Linked DNA regions of Arabidopsis thaliana. Each later gene encodes a partner of the first gene's protein in a complex. Each region holds a gene or a part of one and is shown in the gene's direction. Other genes may lie near its edges.

Region 1 (3,426 bases):
GAAGCTCGAAATAATTAACTGTACTTTTTTGTATGTGGAAATAACGAAAAGATGGTATACATGAGATTAGTCTAATTGAGCGAGCCTATACAAAGATGGGGCACAACTGCACAAGACATATGGATGATCCTTGAGCAGATGAGGGGCACGAATTTGATTGTCTCTAGTACAAAAGACTTTCCCTCATCAACTGAGAAGATACCAATATACACCGTATACTCAAATGGCCGGTATATATATATATATATATATAAGGTTTTATTTTTGTTAAACAAAAAATTAACTAACGATGTTAATACTTAATAGGAGCATAGTTCAAGACCGAAGCTTTATTTGCTAAAATGGTTATATATTGGTATCTGAGTATACAGTGTATACTGGTATCTCAGTTGTCAATGTGAATGACTGAATGGCATAACAACAACAATTATCAAGTAATAAAATGTGGAAAAAAAAACAAAAACAACAAGTAAGAAAATATAATAAATAAATATATATATAACAAACAAAAGGAGGCATCAAATGACGAAAATGACCACGACGTACAATCGTTCTCGTTGATATCATTCCAAGAAAGTGAGGGACCCCATGCAATCCACGTAACGGAGACATGCACAGTCTCTTCTCTTCGGTAATCGAATATTATTGTTTTGTCTACCAAATCGAATATTATATTGTTCATTTTAGTGATAGAACGAAAGAAATCACCGGATTGCTTCTTCCATACACTAATGTGCATCACCGCTCTTTTTCAGACTCATATATACGTGAATATTATATGTTTTCATGTGATGTATGAGAATACACTTTTACCAAAATGTACAGTGTACACAATACAAATCTATGTATATATGATTCTTTACTTTTTAAAACAGCATACATGTGTATATATGTAATATGTTATGTAAGTCGTAACAGTGTAACACCATGCAAAAAAGTCATTAGACTAATTAATTAAGGATCCATTTTGTTTCTATCCATCAGAAAAACTGTGATATAGACCAAATAATATATCGGGTTTTATTACTTCAATATTACTTTTTTCTATTTTGAAAACCAAAGATTGTTTTATTCTCCTATATTACTGTCGTCATTTTTTTCTTATTGTGTCAATTCATTACATCCTAATTTCGGCGGTTTTTCCCAGACATACCCGAAGTCTATATATGTAGCACTCTCCATAATTTGATGTGGCATTCATTGAAGTAATAAATTCAGGTATATCATAGTATAATCAAACCGGCCGGTATATCATTTGACTTCCATACACAATGAGCAAATAAGCATTTTTCCTCTTTGACTAGTATTTGATACACGTTAATATGCAATTGGTGTTTGTCACCTTAGTCAAACAAATATTTTCTTGTAAAAAAGAGAATATGAAAAGAAATGGAAAATTAAAGAGAAAAGTAAGCAAGAACCCTGCTTTCTTCCACCTCCCCTCCTTTGATTTATTTTATCACCTTTGCTTTTTGTCTAAGCTTTTAAGATTCGTTGATAATCGTATAATGACCCAATTACCATTACATGCTTTGTTCTTTCCATTGAGATTGTTCGTTCCACAGTGGCATGCCTACCGACAATTCCAAGTCTTTTCAGGGGCTAAGTAGTAACTCTATTCCAAAGAAAATTAGGAAATTGTTTTGTCACGCGTTATTCAAACCCTAGTCTGAATGCACTATATATGTCCATTCTCTCCAGGCGATGCTTGCATAAAAGGGTACTTTTGGTAATTTTATAACTTGTGACTTTTTTTTGTATACACATCTTTAACATACGTTGTTTTGTTTACTTTATTAATCAAATTAACGAGTGTGAAAAATTGAAAACCTCTCTCTTTCTCATTTTCCCTTTTTTTCTCTTTATCTCAAGCTCATTCTTCTTCTTAATAACTAGATCTCTCTTTCTTTCTTCTTATTTTTCTCTTCTCTTCTTTAGTTTCGCTTATCTCGCGGCTCTGACCAGCTCTCAAGTTGTTCGTTTCTGGTTAATGGATATTGAACCCTCTTGGGATCTTGGGGGGGTGGTTATTTCCTTTTCGAAATTGCATGGCAACATCAAATGACCAAACCAATACTAAATCATCACATTCTCGTACTCTTCTCCTTCTCTTCATCTTCTTATCCCTCCTTCTCTTCAGTAGCCTTACAATCCCCATGACTCGTCATCAGTCCACATCTATGGTTGCTCCCTTCAAGAGGGTTCTCCTCGAATCTTCAGTTCCAGCTTCATCAACAATGGATCTACGTCCAAAGGCTAGCACACGACGCAGCCGCACTTCTAGAAGGAGAGAGTTTGGAAATGATGCTCATGAGGTTCCTAGTGGTCCAAACCCTATTTCCAACTAGGTGAGTTGGCACATCTGGTTTTTTACCGGTGAGTTTGAAAGATAAGTTATTATAGATCAATATTATATGTATATTTGAGAAGCTTCTGATCGATGGAGATCAGAGAGAAGCTTCATTATTATGGACTTTTTTTGGATATGAATTATCAAGAATTTGGTATATATTTCTTTGGATCGATCAATTTGGTACCATTCCATCTCCTTAAAATCTTTTGTTCGTTCTAATATTGTTTTCTCCATCTATTAAGTTTTGAAGTTAGAAGTGTAAAGAAGAGATATATACTCTTTATTTATTCACATGTGACTGTGTGTATATGTAGCCACCTCTGCATTTCCTTCACAAAGTATTTGGGATATAGAATCTTTTATAATTGTTAGATTTGTCTAATGATTGTTTAATTATTGGTATAAAATGTAGACCATTAATTAATTAACCAAAATACTCTATTTGTAACTAAGTGAATAACATTGAAGATCTCGAGGCATTTCACAAATAATTGTTCGATCTAGTTTTGTCCGGTCAAAATTGTCTCCTTTCTGAATATAATTTTGAAAAGAAAATGCAAACCAGCTATATCCGATATCAATTATCTAAAGTAGTTTTCTTTTCTACCGGAAAAAGTAGTAATTATCTTTAAATAATATAATTCATGTTACAATGTACCCTCTAATATATTCATACCCAACCATAGGTTATACGATTCGACACACATTTGAGAAGACTGCAATTTAATTTCTATCTATGAATTGTTTTTTCACTATTAATCAAACTATATCAGAAAAATATGGATAAGCTTTTTCTTTCGTTGGGTTGAACGATCGACAAGAGACTGTAGGGGAGAAGAAAGAAAATTATTAGACAAGAATCGCTTCCTCACATAGCTTTTTGTCTTATCAAAGCATAGTGTCGTAGAAAAACCCAAAAGCTAAATAAGAAAAAGTGATGATTTGATAATAATAATCGTATCATTTCCTTGTTGTTGAATTATATGCCATCAATCATTTGCTTTATGATGTTCCACTTTTCTTCTCTTTCTTTCTTTATTCGTGTATATTGTATTTTTGTTATAACGGCCTTG
Region 2 (6,312 bases), on another chromosome or scaffold:
TCGTTCTAATTGAGATATTATCGGTTCTTCCACTACATCACGTAGAAAAAGAAGTTGATTTTGGACTTCTAATTAACCACACTTACAAAGTGATTATATTCGAACCAATGCAGTTGCAAACTATGATGCAACGGGTAAAGAATTAACGATATATAATAGAAATGAATGTGTGTGATTTCAAAATATAGTATAGCATTAAGCTCACTCACGTACGTACGGAGTCTTTAAGATATGTATGCATAAGCGATAATTTAGGTGATTAGTTGGGAAATAATGAATTCCTTTTTGGAACTTTATGGATCATCGAATAAATGTGAGATATTTAATTCACCCAACCTTAATGATGAAAAGTGAATCTATAATGGCAAGCAACCATCATGATACAAACCTTATATGCCCTTAAGTCAATTTCTACAGCTATAACTTTATATATATAGCATTGACAAAAGATAATTTATTTTTTTCATTGTGTTACTGTGTTTTTAGTAAAGAAAAGAAAAAATATCATAAGAAATAGACATCGTGACCCCAAAAAAAATACGTATAAGCAAAAGGCATAGCTTGGATTTCCTAGTAGTATCAAATAAATAAATGAGACAAAATATTTCTAGTAGAACGGGATTACGGGACCATGTGTTTGAGATATTTTATGAAAATCAATAGAAATAGTAAATAGAAAAATATGAGAATATAACTTGTGTTCATAATATGATGATGTATATACAAGATTAACATGTAAATTAAAGAATGAAGAGACCTAGCTCGACACATTATTTTTAGTAGAGCAGAACCAGGTGATTGAGATAATTCATGTTCATAATTATGAATTCACGAGTAAATAAACTCGTAAATATCAAGAATGTAAGAAAAACGATTTTTTTTTTCTTCTTCTTATAGTAGTCTAATAGTTGAAAGATTTATCATGTAAGCGTAGAATTTAATGTTGAAATTATCTCACTACGATTTGAATCATGCTGAGAATTAAGCTAATGCTTAGGATGGAATGTTGTAGTCTATCGTATAAAATAACTTTATTTTAGACTACGATAAAATTAAAATCATAAAACTCTCAACTCCAATCCTAATCTAATCAAGTTTTTCTAAGGTTGGTAGACAATAGTAGATTTTCAGTGATCGTAAGTATTACTTGGCATATATATAAACGAACTGAAAAATAAGTCCCAATGTAATATCATTTCACTAAAAGTAATAAAGAGATGCACGCGTATATATCTATACGTATGAATGGTCTGATGAAAGGATAAAAAAAGAATGGTGTAATAAATTTGTTATAAAATCTTGAATCTTTTAGGCGCGAGATTGTTGTTCGAAAAAAAAAAACCGTAATTCATATATATGTAAAAACTTATATACGCACACATATATGTAGTGGGCATGAGAGTTAGTGGAGAGACAGAGGATTTTAGCTTTATTGGATCCTGTGAGTGACTGGGATAAATACAGTCCACTTTCGCTTATTGTGTATCTATGTACTTGTACATCTGCATGCGTATACATTCCATTGAACATTCAATTTGTATGCAAAAGGTTTTTTAAAAAGAATACCATAGTGGAAAAAAAAGAATTTTAATGAGGAGAAGAAATTAAAGGACAAAGAAAAGATACTAGCAAATCTAATTAATCGGTTTTTAATATGAGTGGCATTGTGTGATTTGGTTTCTGATTTTACCCAATACTTGTATGATGGCAAAACAAAAACAAAATCTACAATTATAGTATATACGTTTTATTTTGGTTCATACTTAATAAAGGTAACAAACAGAAAAAAGTACTAGTATACGAAGTACAGTAATTTGAAAAAAGTAAGAAAAGTAAAAGAAGAGTGGAAAATGGATTGAGTTTTTTTTTTCTCTTTGCTTTTGTTTTCTTCCCCACACAAAAACCATAATGCCTTAACCAACAAAAGCCAGACCATTAGACGCACTCCACAATCATCACCTTCATCATGACTTCTTCTTCTCTTCTCTTCTTCCATCTTCTTCTTCTTCAAACCCTTAAATCCACCATTGTCAACACTAACACCTTTCTCAACAATATCACCACACTTCCTCAAACAACTTCACTTTAATTTCTTTCTAAAAGCTACGATGAAAAAGAAGAACATTTCTCCTTCTCTTGTTCTTCATCCCCTTCTCCTTCTTCTACTTCCTTTCTTTGCTTTCAATTCCTTAGCTCTCAAGTTTTCACCTCAACTCTTGTCTCTCCTTTCCCTTAAAACATCTCTCTCTGGCCCTCCCTCTGCCTTTCAAGACTGGAAAGTCCCCGTTAACGGTCAAAACGACGCCGTTTGGTGTTCTTGGTCCGGTGTAGTCTGTGATAATGTAACGGCTCAAGTCATTTCCCTCGACCTCTCTCACCGGAACCTCTCTGGTCGTATTCCTATACAGATTCGTTACTTGTCGAGCTTACTCTACTTAAATCTCAGTGGGAATTCTTTGGAAGGTTCGTTTCCAACTTCTATCTTTGATCTCACCAAGCTCACTACCCTCGACATCAGCCGTAACTCGTTCGACTCGAGTTTTCCTCCCGGAATCTCCAAGCTTAAGTTCTTAAAAGTCTTCAATGCGTTCAGCAACAACTTCGAAGGTCTATTACCTAGTGACGTGTCTCGTCTTCGTTTCTTGGAAGAGCTTAACTTTGGTGGAAGTTACTTTGAAGGAGAGATTCCAGCAGCTTACGGTGGTTTACAGAGATTGAAGTTTATTCATTTAGCTGGAAATGTCCTCGGAGGTAAACTACCTCCTAGATTAGGACTCTTAACAGAGCTCCAACACATGGAAATCGGTTATAATCACTTCAACGGAAACATACCTTCGGAGTTTGCCTTACTCTCAAATCTCAAGTACTTTGACGTTTCCAATTGCAGCCTCTCTGGTTCTCTGCCTCAAGAACTCGGGAATCTCTCAAACCTAGAGACTTTATTTCTATTCCAAAACGGTTTCACCGGTGAAATCCCAGAGAGTTATAGCAACTTGAAATCCCTCAAGCTTCTCGATTTTTCGAGTAATCAGCTTTCTGGTAGTATCCCATCAGGCTTCTCGACCTTGAAGAACCTCACATGGCTAAGCTTAATCAGCAATAACCTCTCAGGTGAAGTACCTGAAGGAATCGGTGAACTCCCTGAGCTTACTACATTGTTTCTATGGAACAATAACTTCACCGGAGTTTTGCCACACAAGCTTGGATCAAACGGTAAACTTGAGACAATGGACGTCTCTAACAATTCATTCACCGGAACAATCCCTTCTTCTCTCTGCCATGGAAACAAGCTATACAAACTCATCCTCTTCTCCAACATGTTTGAAGGTGAGCTACCAAAGAGCTTGACTCGTTGCGAATCTCTATGGCGGTTTCGGAGTCAAAACAATCGATTAAACGGCACAATTCCGATCGGATTCGGCTCTCTACGTAACCTCACTTTCGTTGATTTAAGCAACAACAGATTCACCGATCAAATTCCGGCGGATTTCGCCACCGCTCCTGTTCTTCAGTACTTGAATCTCTCAACCAATTTCTTCCACAGGAAACTACCGGAAAACATATGGAAAGCTCCGAATCTACAGATCTTCTCAGCGAGTTTCAGCAATTTGATCGGTGAAATCCCAAATTACGTTGGATGCAAAAGCTTCTACAGGATTGAACTACAAGGAAACTCACTCAACGGAACGATTCCATGGGACATCGGACATTGCGAGAAGCTTCTCTGTTTGAATCTCAGCCAAAATCATCTCAACGGAATCATTCCATGGGAGATTTCAACTCTTCCGTCAATCGCCGACGTAGATCTTTCTCATAATCTCTTAACCGGAACAATCCCTTCCGATTTCGGAAGCTCTAAGACGATCACAACCTTCAACGTTTCGTATAATCAGCTAATCGGTCCGATTCCAAGTGGTTCTTTCGCTCATCTGAATCCGTCGTTCTTCTCCTCAAACGAAGGACTCTGTGGAGATCTCGTCGGAAAACCTTGCAATTCTGATAGGTTTAACGCCGGAAATGCAGATATAGACGGTCATCATAAAGAGGAACGACCTAAGAAAACAGCCGGAGCTATTGTTTGGATATTGGCGGCGGCGATTGGGGTTGGATTCTTCGTCCTTGTAGCCGCCACTAGATGCTTCCAGAAAAGCTACGGAAACAGAGTCGACGGTGGTGGAAGAAACGGCGGAGATATAGGACCGTGGAAGCTAACGGCTTTTCAGAGACTAAACTTCACGGCGGATGATGTGGTTGAGTGTCTCTCAAAGACTGATAACATCCTCGGAATGGGATCAACAGGAACAGTGTACAAAGCAGAGATGCCTAATGGAGAAATAATCGCCGTGAAAAAACTTTGGGGAAAAAACAAAGAGAACGGCAAAATCCGGCGGCGGAAGAGCGGCGTATTGGCGGAGGTTGATGTTCTAGGGAACGTACGTCACCGGAACATCGTTCGTCTCCTTGGATGTTGCACGAATCGAGATTGCACGATGCTTTTATACGAATACATGCCTAATGGAAGCTTAGACGATCTTCTTCACGGTGGGGATAAGACGATGACCGCGGCGGCGGAATGGACGGCTTTGTATCAGATCGCGATTGGAGTGGCTCAAGGGATCTGTTATCTCCACCATGATTGTGATCCGGTGATTGTACACCGTGACCTGAAACCTAGCAATATCCTCCTCGACGCCGATTTCGAGGCGCGTGTGGCGGACTTCGGCGTCGCGAAGCTTATTCAAACCGACGAATCCATGTCCGTCGTCGCCGGTTCGTACGGTTACATTGCACCAGGTACCCTTAACTTTTTTTGATTATTCTTTACTTTCCCCAAATTTTAAATTTTGTACTTTTTTGTCCCTTTGTTTTTATTATTCGAATTTTGTCCGTTTGTTAAACATTCTTTTTGTTGGGATGACAACATCTGACAAATATGACTAAAATTTTAATTTTGTTTGTTTTGGTTACAGAATATGCTTACACTTTACAAGTGGATAAAAAGAGTGATATCTATAGCTATGGAGTGATTTTATTAGAGATAATCACCGGAAAAAGATCGGTGGAACCGGAATTTGGAGAAGGTAACAGTATCGTGGATTGGGTTAGATCAAAGTTGAAGACGAAAGAAGATGTAGAAGAAGTTCTAGACAAAAGCATGGGTAGGTCGTGTAGTCTTATAAGAGAAGAGATGAAACAAATGTTGAGAATTGCGTTGTTGTGTACAAGCCGGAGTCCGACAGACAGACCGCCGATGAGAGATGTGTTGTTGATTCTTCAAGAGGCAAAGCCAAAGAGGAAGACAGTAGGGGATAATGTGATCGTCGTTGGTGATGTTAATGATGTCAATTTCGAAGATGTTTGTAGTGTTGATGTTGGTCATGATGTTAAATGTCAAAGGATTGGGGTGTGATTGTTTATATATATATATTTTTTTTGTATTTGGAGTTTTTAATGTAATTGTAGGTTTTTTTTAAGGGTGTTACTAGTATATATGATATGAGTGTATTTTTGTTTCTTTTCGTTATATGAATATCGGAATGTTTCGAATTTTGCTTTGAGGAAGATCGATCATGCAACTACATTTTTTGGGCTTAAGAGTAAGAGATTTATATTTAAAGAGAGTTGGCGTCCATTATCTTGGCCCTATCATCAGCATGTGTATTCTTTGCATCGATTGCACCAATGTGGTATACTGTATATCATTGTCCTATTTTGGAGCAAACTAACATGCATAAAACAAAAAAAAAACTAACATGCATTGACATATAGATATTTTTCCTTGCATCTACATTAAAGTTTATATGTTAAGAATTTATGTTTCTTATTATATTGTTAATATTTAATCAGTTGACATATTTGGATTATATATCTTTGCCTATAGCTAGTCAAACAAAACTTATTTTTGATAAAAAAAAATTTAGTTTAATTTTTACGAATAAAATATTGGAGAAATATATTTCAGAGTAAAATTTAAAACAACTTTTATTGATGTAGGAAAATAAACTTAAAAAGGGTTAACAACATAAAAACATAGAACATGTTTTATTAGTCGGAAAACAGAAAGAAAAGAAAGCATGTTTCTTTTTATTATTTGTTTATCTCAACTAGTCACCCAAATCTAGGTACGCTTCATAGATTCTATGGTCACTTGGTGGAAATCGACAAGTTACTTGGCTGGAGCTAGGAACATATAGTGAATCTTTTTGTGACCACCAAGTGCTTGACCAGATGCAAACATTCTGTTACAAATTTGACACTCGTATTGTCGTCGAACTATTGGCCCATCTTCCCCGAAATAATTCTTGTCGGAAA

What was found.
Region 2: the proteins of CLE41 (region 1) and PXY are in contact, whole or in part, in a crystal structure (PDB 5GIJ), measured with the Arabidopsis thaliana proteins. Residues at the interface, in NP_566754.1 of Arabidopsis thaliana: His88 (codon at 2,310), Val90 (codon at 2,316), Pro91 (codon at 2,319), Ser92 (codon at 2,322), Gly93 (codon at 2,325), Pro94 (codon at 2,328), Asn95 (codon at 2,331), Ile97 (codon at 2,337), Ser98 (codon at 2,340), Asn99 (codon at 2,343); in NP_200956.1 of Arabidopsis thaliana: Phe161 (codon at 2,589), Ser162 (codon at 2,592), Asn163 (codon at 2,595), Gly186 (codon at 2,664), Ser187 (codon at 2,667), Tyr188 (codon at 2,670), His207 (codon at 2,727), Ala209 (codon at 2,733), Gly210 (codon at 2,736), Glu231 (codon at 2,799), Tyr234 (codon at 2,808), Tyr253 (codon at 2,865), Asp255 (codon at 2,871), Phe279 (codon at 2,943), Phe281 (codon at 2,949), Gln282 (codon at 2,952), Leu301 (codon at 3,009), Asp303 (codon at 3,015), Ser305 (codon at 3,021), Trp325 (codon at 3,081), Trp353 (codon at 3,165), Asp375 (codon at 3,231), Ser377 (codon at 3,237), Lys397 (codon at 3,297), Ile399 (codon at 3,303), Phe401 (codon at 3,309), Arg421 (codon at 3,369), Arg423 (codon at 3,375).

Annotation. Positions count from the first base shown.
Region 1 is NC_003074.8:9,044,731-9,048,156, forward strand, and holds CLE41 (CLAVATA3/ESR-RELATED 41), read left to right. Parts: upstream 1-1,802; 5' UTR 1,803-2,048; coding exon 2,049-2,348; 3' UTR 2,349-2,733; downstream 2,734-3,426.
Region 2 is NC_003076.8:24,723,639-24,729,950, reverse strand, and holds PXY (Leucine-rich repeat protein kinase family protein), read left to right. Parts: upstream 1-1,706; 5' UTR 1,707-2,108; coding exon 2,109-4,794; intron 4,795-4,970; coding exon 4,971-5,410; 3' UTR 5,411-5,614; downstream 5,615-6,312. Other genes in the region: AT5G61470 (C2H2-like zinc finger protein), read right to left, coding at 6,167-6,312. UniProt on the Arabidopsis thaliana protein: Acts with CLE41p and CLE44p peptides as a ligand-receptor pair in a signal transduction pathway involved in the regulation of procambium maintenance and polarity during vascular-tissue development.